Linked DNA regions of Solanum lycopersicum. The protein of the gene in region 2 binds, or shares a complex with, the protein of the main gene of each other region. Links are inferred from orthologs where the notes say so. Each region holds a gene or a part of one and is shown on either strand. Other genes may lie near its edges. The genes, in order: eukaryotic translation initiation factor 3 subunit E, eukaryotic translation initiation factor 3 subunit A-like and eukaryotic translation initiation factor 3 subunit K.

Region 1 (4,241 bases), about 2.8 Mb from region 2:
TGATTGCTTAGAGACGAGGCATATGAATTTCACAATTACGGGTGGTCTTACTATGATTTACCAGCTTCGTTTTCGTTTGTTTTCAGTAGAGAGATGTTTGCTTCTGTTAGTTTTTGTAAACAGTTTCCAGGGTGAAGTTGAATTACTTGCTTGTAGAAGTCTAGTGTGTTGTAGAGCAGTTAATGGGCTATCAAAACTAAATCCTTTGTGTTTCTTTTGATGTGTTTACTATTCGATCATGACTACTTTAAAGAGTATTTGGTTCGGCTTATTTTAGAAAATAAAATATAAACAAATCTATTTCAAGGAGCCCAAAAGTCTACTTTTATCTTTATTTTAAGGTTAATAAAGGGTTGTGCTTTATTCATATGGAGTTTATTTGGTATTGAATTACAAGACTTTTCAGAATAATGTAGCCCTATGAATTAAAAACAAGAACGACAAGAATGATAATACTATTAGACCTCTTATCAAATTTATGCATAGTGATCTTTAATGAAAATAATTTTTAGCGGGATAAAATATTGACATTAATAAAGAGTGTTAAAGTCACATGGGCATTAGATAAGTGTCATTAAAATTAATATCGTTAAAGACTTTAGGAACATATAACGATCATTAGTTGGAATATGCTCTGGTGTTTTTTTTAGCCATATTTTGCCACTTTGGTAATAAAATGCATTCAGTTGCCCAAAAAAATAATTTAAGATAAGTTGTTTATTCTTTTTACTATAGCATGTGAATATATGGAACTCATCTTTATTTTAAAACTACTCCTAGGAGTAGTATATAGAGTTCAAAAAATGATAATCGAATATTATAAAATTAACATATTCGAGTGAAATTGTTTTGATGAAGCACGTTCACAGGGTCAAACAAAGATGGTGATAGTTAGTAATGATAATCGTGAAGTGATGACTATAAGTGATTGATTATAATTGTTAAAAATGAAGGTAATAATTGACGATATTAGTAAAAAAATGACGTATATTGTTATTGAAGATGGTTAGTGACATAGTATAATAAATAATGGTTGAAGGAGGTTGCAATTAGAGATACTAAGATTATTCGATAGTAGAAATAATTTGATGGTCATCGTTCGATAGTGGATCGATTATAAAAATTAATAATTATTGATAATAGTTAGCGTAATATTTAACAATATTATTATGATAATACTTTTACCTTATTGTTTTTAGAAATCAACACTTTTGGATTTTTTTAAAAATTCAATCAAACAAATTATTTTCTATCGTAAAAATCAAAACCAAAACAAAAAAAAAAGAAAAAGAAAAAGTAGTTGTATTGAAGATGGGGTTAAAGGTAACAATATTTAAAACCCAAGGGGGAGTTTCAACATTATTTATTCCTTACAGCAAAAAAGACGAAACCCTAGAAATCTTTCTTCTACCGATCCACTTCTCATCTTTTCAGTTTCTCTGGTTCTGCACGGCGGCGAGTTTTGTGGTTGCTATCTCTTACCGACAGTAGCAATCATGGCGTCGAAGTACGATTTGACGCCACGTGTAGCGCAGCAATTGGACATTCACTTGATTTTCCCGTTACTGGAGTTTTTGCAAGAGCAGGGATTATACCCAGATGAATATATACTCAAGGCGAAGATTGAGCTGCTTAATCACACTAACATGGTTGATTATGCTATGGATATTCATAAGTCTCTCTATCATACTGACGATGTGCCTCAAGGTATCATTTAATTTTTTCGCTTCGTGTTTCCAATTGATTTTTTTGTTTATTAATCTTAATACTTGTGCTTTTTTTTTTTAGCAAAAGGGGTTTTTTTTTGGGGGGGTGGGGTTGTGAATTTTATGGATATTGTTTATACAAGTTGTCTATGTGCTGTTCCTCAAGGTTATCTCTTTCCCCCCTTTGTAGTAGTGAATACGCATTGATTTGTGTGTTGTGTGGGGTGGGGTTGTACGTCAAGGTTTCTCTTTCTTTCCCTTTGGTATGAATGCCCGTTGATTTGTGCCCTTACTGATCGAAATACCTTGTGCCCTTTTCAGCATGAAGGTTTTCGTGTGTGGTGTGGGGTTGTTAGTTTTAATGGATATGGTCTCTATAGAAGTTGTAGAAGTTGTCCTTCAGGTGTCTCCTGTTTCCCTTCATATTGGTGTATGTTTACATATTGGTCCACGTATTGGTGAATGCTTATTTATTTGTTGCTTCACTTAATGCTTTTGCACTTTTAACAAAAGGTGTTCTTTTTTGGGGTGGTGATATGGTGGTAGTTGTAATTTTGATGGTTCTGGTCTGTAGAAGTTGTTTAAAATTTATTCGAAGGGGATAATCTGTATAGTTGATGTATAAGAGTAAAAAAATCTGGTGACTTAGCAGTGCCCTTTTTAGCATAGAAGTTGTTTTCTTGTGGGGGTATTGTAATTCTGTTGGGGCAGTCTCCGTAGGTTTTCTTTGGAGTTGTCCCTTGAGGAATCTGTATAGTTGTGATCAGATAGAGATTTGATATGGGAGGCAATTTTGACGTTGTTGTCTGGATTTTCTGTTTGAGCTTTACAGTAAATGCATGCAATGTATGTAGATTAAAACCTTCTTGGTGTACTTAGATAAGATAAACTGTTGGTACACATACGTGTCGGTACAGAGTCTAACCATTTGCGACTTGCCCTCAGGGATTCCTCTGTTATTAAAAAAGTTTAGTTTGAGCAGAAGTGATTTTGGGAGTTCCTTTACATGTTTAAATTCTGCACTGTCTTTATAATTGCCGTTTGATTGTTCAGAAATGATGGAGAGGAGAGCCGAGGTTGTGGCAAGGTTGAAAGCACTTGAGGAAGCTGCAGCCCCATTGATCACTTTTTTGCAGAATTCCAGTGCTGTGCAGGAGTTGAGAGCTGACAAACAGCACAATCTTCAGTTGCTCCAGGAGCGGTACCAGGTGCATAGATCTAGTTTGATTTACATGATATAGAGTTCCTTCTTCTTTAGTACTTAATGTTGTATAATTAATAATATACTTGTTAAAGGGATCACAAACAGAAGTTGGTCTCTAGCTAATTTTGTGAATATACATTTTTTATTTTAGTAATGCTCTTACAAACCTGTCCAGATTGGTCCGGACCAGATAGAGGCATTGTATCAATATGCCAAATTTCAGTTTGAATGTGGAAACTATTCTGGTGCTGCTGATTATCTTTACCAGTACCGAGCATTGTGCACAAACAGTGACAGGAGCGTCAGTGCATTGTGGGGAAAGCTTGCAGCGGAGATACTAATGCAGAATTGGGATATTGCACTCGAGGAACTCAACCGCTTGAAAGAAATTATCGACTCAAAGGTAATATTTTGCATATATTGAGTCAACAATCTGTCTGTTTGAGTTAGTCTTACCAAGTTGAGTATCCTGTAGGAAAAAACTGAATGATCCTCAGTTTACCAAGTGTACTAAAAGTGTCGCTTGTCTTGCAGAGTTTCTCTACTCCGTTGAATCAAGTTCAGAATAGAATATGGCTAATGCATTGGAGTCTATTCATCTTCTTCAACCATGACAATGGCAGGACACTGATCATTGACCTGTTTAACCAGGACAAGTATGCCAACTGTACTTTAGTTGCTATTGCTTATAGATGATTGTTTTCATTTGCTGCTTCATTTTAGATTTCCCCATCCTGTTTGAGCTAGGCATTTTTTCTGATACTATCACCTACCGAGTATGATGTAGAGAAATATTTTAGGAAGCTCCGATTACCTAGTTCTTTCCCTTAGTGGGAAAATGGAGAAAACTAGATGAATTAGAATGAAACATGATCTGGAGGGTCAGGAACACACTGTATTTCTTATTTGCATACAGCAGAATTATGTTTGAAATATAGTTTTCTTATTCCAAAATGTTTGAAATAAATATTGCTCTTCTTTTGTGGTAACATACATTAAGACAGTATTCTTCTTGATATGTCTCGATTAAAGTAGCTGTTATTTTTCCTTTTGTTGGTATTCTATGGATTTACATCTTCCCTTTGAGCTTTTCTAAATCATTGAAGTCTTGCAGATACTTGAATGCCATTCAAACAAGTGCTCCCCACTTGCTGCGGTACTTGGCTATTGCATTTATTGTCAACAAAAGAAGAAGACCTCAATTTAAGGACTTTATAAAGGTTATTCAGCAGGAGCAACACTCTTGTAAAGATCCCATCACAGAGTTTTTGGCATGTATTTACGTCGACTATGATTTTGATGGGGCACAGGAGAAGATGAAGGAGTGCGAA
Region 2 (2,691 bases):
GGACAGAGAACTCGAAGAGGCCCAAGCAATGCTGCAAGAAGCTGAAAAGCGCAGCAAGAGGAAGAAGAAACCAGTCTTAGATGGAGTACATACAAAATTTGGACCTTTTTTGGTTTATTTATTCAGATCTCTATAGAAATTCTTACTAATGTTAACCTAAGTGCAGGAAAAGATGACCAAAAAGGATATCATGGAGTTGGCATTACATGAGCAACTCAGGGAGAGGCAGGAAATGGAGAAAAAATGGCAGAAGTTTGCCAAAGTAATGGATTATTTGGAGAGAGCGAAGAGAGAAGAAGCAGCGCCTCTTATTGAATCTGCATTTCAACGGCATTTAGCTGAAGAGGCTACTCTTCATGAACGTGAGCAGCAGGTATGCATAGAATTAGCATTTGTTTTGCCTAACCACCATTAACAACCTATTGTTTGACATTTTCCTTGAATTCTTTCTGAAGGAACTAAATTTTGGTATTTCTTTTTGGTCAAATGTTGTTGATTAATGGATCTGGATTTACAACAATCTTGCAGCAAGAAATTGAATTGAGCAGACAACGACATGGTGGGGACCTTGTAGAGAAGAGTAGGCTGGGCCGCATGTTGGAGAATAAGGTCTCTTAATCTTAATTTTTTTTATTTGGTTGCATTATGTATTTGTGTCTTAGGACTATGTATTTGAGCTTATGGTTGTAAAGGGGCACTGCCTTTGATATTTGCTTCAACTAACTGAATTCTGTTATGCCACTGGCCTTTGGGAACCAAAGCTCACGGTTGTTGTTGGAAAAAGGTCTTTTGACATATTTTACACTTTGAATATGCTAGCGTTACACCATCAGCTGATATAGGCACTGATTTTGCAGAGAATATTCCAAGAAAGAGTTGTTAGCTGCAGGGAAGCCAAACTCAATAGCAAGAAACAGGAGAGACAAGAACAAATAAACCGGATAATTCAGACAAGGAAACAGGACAGGGACACTAGGAGGAAGCTGCTATTCTTTCTGCGAAAAGAGGAAGAACAACAGAAGAGGTTGCAGGAAGAGGAGGATGCGCGGAAACATGAAGGTATCCTTCTGGTTAAAGATGCATTTTACGCACTGCATTTCGATTTTCAATGAAGTGCGTTTCACCAAGACGTTTATGCTTCTGATAACATTTTAGCAGAGCATCATTTAATTGTCGTTGCTTATTTAAACCTGACCTTTTCGAGGTTATGCATACCGTCTGTAATGTACTCTCACCTTCGCAAGTCCTTTCATGCATGCGTCGTTGTCTGGTTTATAATCCTCAAGTGTTTAGGAGCTACACTGACCCCTCTCAAGTTCTTTTTATCCTTCACCAATCTACCCTTTTTCTTTTGGGGTTGTGGTTTTGAGTTGTCATTTATTGTCCATTTAGAATCCTATGACAATGCATTGAGAATTTTGCAGAGGCAGAGAAGCGAAAAAGAGAGGAAGCTGATCGGAAGTCCAAGTTAGATGCTATTGCAGAAAAGCAGAGGCAACGAGAGCTAGAACTTGAAGAGAAGAAAAGGCTGGAGAGAGAGGTGGTCTTGGGGAAATCCATGCCTATGTCACTTGAGCCTTCAACTATAGGTCGTCCCTCAGAAGCTGGAGCAACTGCACCTGCAGCAACAGCAGCTGCACCTACTCCCGGTAAGTTTGTGCCCAGGTTCAGAAGAGAGAAAATTGACGTAGCAGGCCAGTCTCCACCTCCCGAGACTGATCGGTGGAGCAGTGGTGGCAGGCGTGATGAACGAAACTCGTTTGGTGGTGGTTCAAGGACCAGTTGGTCATCCTCTAGGCGCAACTAATTGCAGTGAATCAGAGGCAGTAAATCAAGCCGTTTGCATAGTCGGGACACTTTTTTTACAAAATTTCAATTTTGGCTGTTAGTTATTGAAAACTTCTCTTTGTGTATCGGAAACAACCTCTCTGTCTTCTCAAGTTAGGGGAAGAGGTTTACGTACACCAACCTGTGGAATTACACTAATTTAGTCATTGAAATATTTGTTTTTTGGAAAATTTTCAAAATAACAATCTTTTAGTTTTTAGTGTGACTTCTTATTCATAGTTTCATTATTTATTAAAAATGTCATTATTTTAGTTTGTTAAAGAATTAATTATGTATTTATTATTATTCTGAAAAGAATATAAATAATTAGTTACAGAACATAGAAAATTATGGAACAAAAAAATTAAAAAAAGATTTTAATTTAATATAATACAATTAATTAATAACAAAATAGAGAAGATCAAGGAAAATAATATTTCAAATAAACTAATTTTTGAATTTAGACCAACAAAGTTACGTTACCATAATTATTAACTTTCCTATTATACGTGTTTGGTTCCACAATCGACATGATTTTTTTCCCTCTTATTCCTCAAATTTACAATACTAATTTTTAACACTTCATTGAAAATACTAAATCTATGTAGAATTGAAGTCGATTGATTTAAGATTTTTGCGAACAGTGAAGAAGATTTTACAATGAAAAAAATAAAAAATAAATACAAAATTTGTTGGCAAACAAAGTGAGCATAAAAAATCTAAAACTTGTTAACATACATTTAAAATTGTTATAGAATAAGAGTCTGTTTGGATGAGCTTAAAAGTTGGTCAAACTGACTAGTTTTTGACTTATTAGAGCGTTTGACAATTATCAAAGTGACTTAAGGCATTCTTGAAATATCT
Region 3 (4,408 bases), on a different chromosome or scaffold from region 2:
AGAAAAATGTAATTCTTTTTAAAAGAAATAGGTTCTCTCATTGTATCAAAACTGCTATTGCACATTGTGGGCAAGGGGAGGATTAACACTATATGGAGATAATATCCAGATCATGTGGTTAATATGAGGGGTTATAAATATTATACGCTGTACTTCATTCATTTTGGGCAAGGAGAGGATCAAGTATATGGAGATAATACCTAGATTATGTGGTTAATATGAGGGGTTTAGAATGTTATATTCTGTGCTTCATTCATTTTGTTGTAAATAGGTGGGGCCAAGTGTAATTGTCAACAAGAAACACTCTAGGAATTTTTTTTGGGTAGTCAAAAACTCAAGAATATTGATGGGTTATATCTGAAACAAAATTTTTACTACTAATAGTTGGAATAAATAGGGTCAAGGAAATGATTTGAAACTCAATCACTTCATAAAATGTCTCTCTCTCCACAGTTTTAAGCATGTTGCCGCAAAATCTGACACTTATTACGTATAACAAATAGGTTTCTTATTGCATCCGTATTGCTACTATTGAACACTGTGGATGAGGGGTGGATTAAAGCATTCAGTAATACCAGAAACAGCTTCCACAATGTGGCGGCTCTTTGCAGCTTCATCCCAAAATTGGCGGAACCTTGCAGTCTGCAAAAAGATGTGTGTACTTGTTGGGTTAACTACAGAGTTGGAAGAAACTTTCAGCAAACACAACATGGCATACCTCTAAGAAGTGTGACAGAACATTTAGTGTCTTGAATTGCTCTTCAATTTGCTGAGGAATGAAATGAGAAAATCATTATGAAGAAAAAAGGATAGGGCAATGCATCTAACACAGTTGAAGATTCATATGTAGATGTCAAAGCATGCATTCTGCCTTGCTCCCAAAAAAATCACCACAATGACCACAACCCCAGTGAAACAGTAAAGAAAATTAAGGCGAAAAGTGTTTGCAAAGTTGAGCAACAATAAATAGATGTCTATGGGGGTTGCAGCAAAAAGAGTGTACATGAAAGTGCCCCTCAAAAGGAAATGAAGAACTTCTAGGAAACAACCTTAACTGTTCCTCAATCCCAATCTTGTTTGGGCCAGCTATGTATATCCTCACCCTCCTCAATATCCCTTTGGATGAATTTAATTAACAAATAGGAAACTATACTAGCTAAGAAATTTAAGAACACCAATACAAGAAAATGGAGAACTTACGGGGAAACAACCTCTCTACCCCACAAAAGTGGGGGGTAAGGTTGTGTACATCATAGGATGCATTTCATTAACAAATATGAAACTATACTAGCTAAGAAATTAAAGAATACCAACATAAGGAAATGAAGAACTTCTGGGAAACAACCTCTCTACCCCACAAAGGTAGGGGTAAGGGTTTGTGTACATCCTACCCTCCCCAGACCCCACTTGTGGAACTACACTGGGGTATGTTGTTGTTGCTCAGTTTTACAACCTTTATGTTGCAGATATCGGTTTATATATAGAGCAACACCAAATATCGTACATCACTATGTATCTATTTATTTGTTTCAGACTTTCCTGTTTATCTAATTTCCTCAAAACTTAGCACGAGGACATTTCTGAACCAACAAAGCAACCTTCCCAAACTGCCAGCTATAAAATAAAATGATGTACCTCCAATCTAGTTGGATACACAGCAGGAGATGACAAATGAGTATTCAAAAATTTAGAAATATAGGAAGATCTTTTGGGGTATTTTTATAGTAGAATTATGTCATCTGATCAACTGCCTTCCTTTTTCATTTTACACAAGCCATGAAACAACTGTCAAGCTGTGTTAGGCATGACTGAGAATAGCTAATATTCCTGGTCACAAATAGGGGTAGTAACAAATCTACCTACATCTTTGGCTGTGACAGTTTTTATGTTTTCCAGCAGAGTACACAAGACTAGCAAAATTTACAATTCATATTCATCAAAGGTAAAGTCATAATCAAGGCAGCTTCAGAGATATATACCACTCGTTCGGGGATTAGGAAGAGACACAGGCTGTAATCTGGAGCTGGCATTGCCATTAAGGCCTATCAATACAACCAAGCAAATAATAAGTTAGATAATAACAGAGGCAACAAGTAATATCACAGTATGCAAAACAAGAACTTGATTGCACCTTAACCAAAATACGAGCAACAATTGGTGTACTCATTCTGTCCGGCTCAAACTGCACACATCCAAACAAATAAAAAAAAAACAAAATCAAACAACAAACAAACCTCCATGATTAATTCTCAAAATAACGATATAAACCTGATAAAGACGGAGCAGGCAAAGGTTTGCATCCAGATTGTATGTTTGAGACAAAACCTAAATTAACATTGGGATTACTCAATCAATAACAACGGAAAATTCAGCAGAAACAAAAATCTGAAAAGGGGTTGGCAACCCATTACAAAAAGATTAATTTTTGGAGTGATGAACGATGGTGAATTGGTGTACCTGTTCGTTGACATAGTTTTCAAGATCAGGGAGGATATCTGGATTGTAAGGGTTAACGGCAATGAGCTGTTCTACAGTGATAGCCAACTGTGACTTCTCGGAACCACCATTAGTCGCCTCTTGAACCATTTTGTAAACTGTATCTGACTGCTTTCGAACAAATTGGAAGGTGAAGAGAGGAGCCAAAAGGGGTTGCACTTGCAGTACAGCTGAACGGAGGTTTTAGGGTTAAGAGGGCGAGAGTAAGAGATACGGGAGGGATTATTTGTTTGTGACGGATATACCCTTCAAATTTCTCTCAATCCTTGAATATGATTTGAAATTAGATTGATTTAAATTGAAATTTTTTTCTGACATTATTATATTTCATAAGTGAAATTGTTCGCTCTTCGCATAATTATATGTTCATATAATAATTTAATGAACAATCTTGTTTTAATTGAGTATTAAAAATATTTATATTTTTATGTTAGTGCGGGATATATATAAAAGAATATTATTATTTTCATCTTTTTAAGTACAAATATTCATACATATATAGTAAGATAAAATGTTTATTGTGATAAAGCAAATGAATAAGAGGTCATATCTTAAAATAATAATATTTTATGCTACATCAAAATATTTTTTATATTTGAATATTATTTATATTTTTTATGGGATCACTTGATTTTTTTATCGGATGTCCTCGTAGGGACGAGATTACCTGATTCTATATACAAATTCTAACTTCGTAAAAAAATAAATGAATTTCTTCATTGTATCTTTATTATTAAAATTATTTATAATAATTTTTAAAACATTAATTAAATATTGTGAAATAAAACATAAGAAGTTATGAAAAATATTGAAGAGTGGAAATTAGAAGCAAGATGAAAAAATATGAGTTATAAATAATATAAATAAGTAATATATTATTAATTATGCATTGATTTTATTTGTAAAAGTAAATTAATAAATATGAAAAATAGAGAAGATAAAAACGAACAAAAAAAAATGATTGGTGCCTATAAGAGATAAATATAATAAATATCTAGTATTGTACCACGTTAACATTGCTTGGTGACAAACAATATAACTTAAGGAAATTGATAATCTAATTCCTTTAGAAAAAGGCCAGAGGAAAGAAATGACGAAAGCCACTGAAATTGGAGTTTACCAAGAATCTTGAACAAATTATTGAGCACAAGACTACTTAAATACAAGCTTGATGTCACACTACTATATATAAGGTTCACAATATTTACAATAGACACAAACATGTCGTGCAGATGCACTGATTCAAAAGTTGTTGCAGTAGTAGTGATAATAAAACCCAAAAAGTCAAAGAGTGTTAGGAGTTTTTAGTTACAAGATGATGGTATCTTAGTCTAGAACAACATGGTACAATTGGAATCCACGCAAGCTTATCCAGTCACAACATTTATGAAATTGCAAGATGTCAAAGTACCTAAAAATAAATGATAGAGATATTGGCAAGAAAGTAAGAGAGATACTACAACAAACAACTGAGACATAATATACTACATTAATTTCACAAATTTACAGCCAAAGGCGATAGTTTTATGGTGAAGTTATGTTAATAATAAATATTTACTTAGACAAAGTGTAACACAACATATCTAATTAAATGTGCCATATCAACTTAACGTAAAATCTAAATCCCTGAGGCATCCAAAAAAGTTAAAAGATTGAGTACCATCTCCGTTACTTTTGTATCCCCAACTTCTTATAACAAGATCTTCATACTAACTGAGTTTGTGCAGATTGAGAATCCCAAAAGTTATGATTTTATAGTAACCAAATATACCAAAATGAGGAACATACTTTCTATAATTAAATGTGACTATATCAAATTCAATCATTAAAGTAATCATAGTTGCAAACATACAATTGAATAGAGTTAAAGTTATGTACTCTAGAAAAGAAATGAAAAATAGACAATCAGAGT

What was found.
Region 1: eukaryotic translation initiation factor 3 subunit A-like (region 2) and eukaryotic translation initiation factor 3 subunit E share a complex: the UniProt entries of both Arabidopsis thaliana proteins name them as parts of the eukaryotic translation initiation factor 3 (eIF-3) complex. The link is inferred for Solanum lycopersicum from reciprocal best matches to the Arabidopsis thaliana genes EIF3A and EIF3E.
Region 3: eukaryotic translation initiation factor 3 subunit A-like (region 2) and eukaryotic translation initiation factor 3 subunit K share a complex: the UniProt entries of both Arabidopsis thaliana proteins name them as parts of the eukaryotic translation initiation factor 3 (eIF-3) complex. The link is inferred for Solanum lycopersicum from reciprocal best matches to the Arabidopsis thaliana genes EIF3A and EIF3K.

The regions. Positions count from the first base shown.
Region 1 is NC_090809.1:60,505,729-60,509,969, reverse strand, and holds the start of eukaryotic translation initiation factor 3 subunit E, read left to right. Parts: upstream 1-1,346; 5' UTR 1,347-1,496; coding exon 1,497-1,707; intron 1,708-2,759; coding exon 2,760-2,914; intron 2,915-3,085; coding exon 3,086-3,313; intron 3,314-3,444; coding exon 3,445-3,566; intron 3,567-4,024; coding exon 4,025-4,241. Other genes in the region: calcium-binding protein CBP, read left to right, coding at 1-11. UniProt on the Arabidopsis thaliana protein: Component of the eukaryotic translation initiation factor 3 (eIF-3) complex, which is involved in protein synthesis of a specialized repertoire of mRNAs and, together with other initiation factors, stimulates binding of mRNA and methionyl-tRNAi to the 40S ribosome.
Region 2 is NC_090809.1:63,308,340-63,311,030, forward strand, and holds the end of eukaryotic translation initiation factor 3 subunit A-like, read left to right. Parts: coding exon 1-85; intron 86-166; coding exon 167-373; intron 374-528; coding exon 529-609; intron 610-857; coding exon 858-1,059; intron 1,060-1,424; coding exon 1,425-1,807; 3' UTR 1,808-2,047; downstream 2,048-2,691. UniProt on the Arabidopsis thaliana protein: RNA-binding component of the eukaryotic translation initiation factor 3 (eIF-3) complex, which is involved in protein synthesis of a specialized repertoire of mRNAs and, together with other initiation factors, stimulates binding of mRNA and methionyl-tRNAi to the 40S ribosome.
Region 3 is NC_090806.1:58,133,038-58,137,445, reverse strand, and holds the start of eukaryotic translation initiation factor 3 subunit K, read right to left. Parts: upstream 2,888-4,408; 5' UTR 2,587-2,887; coding exon 2,458-2,586; intron 2,326-2,457; coding exon 2,269-2,325; intron 2,183-2,268; coding exon 2,132-2,182; intron 2,043-2,131; coding exon 1,980-2,042; intron 770-1,979; coding exon 719-769; intron 643-718; coding exon 576-642; intron 1-575. UniProt on the Arabidopsis thaliana protein: Component of the eukaryotic translation initiation factor 3 (eIF-3) complex, which is involved in protein synthesis of a specialized repertoire of mRNAs and, together with other initiation factors, stimulates binding of mRNA and methionyl-tRNAi to the 40S ribosome.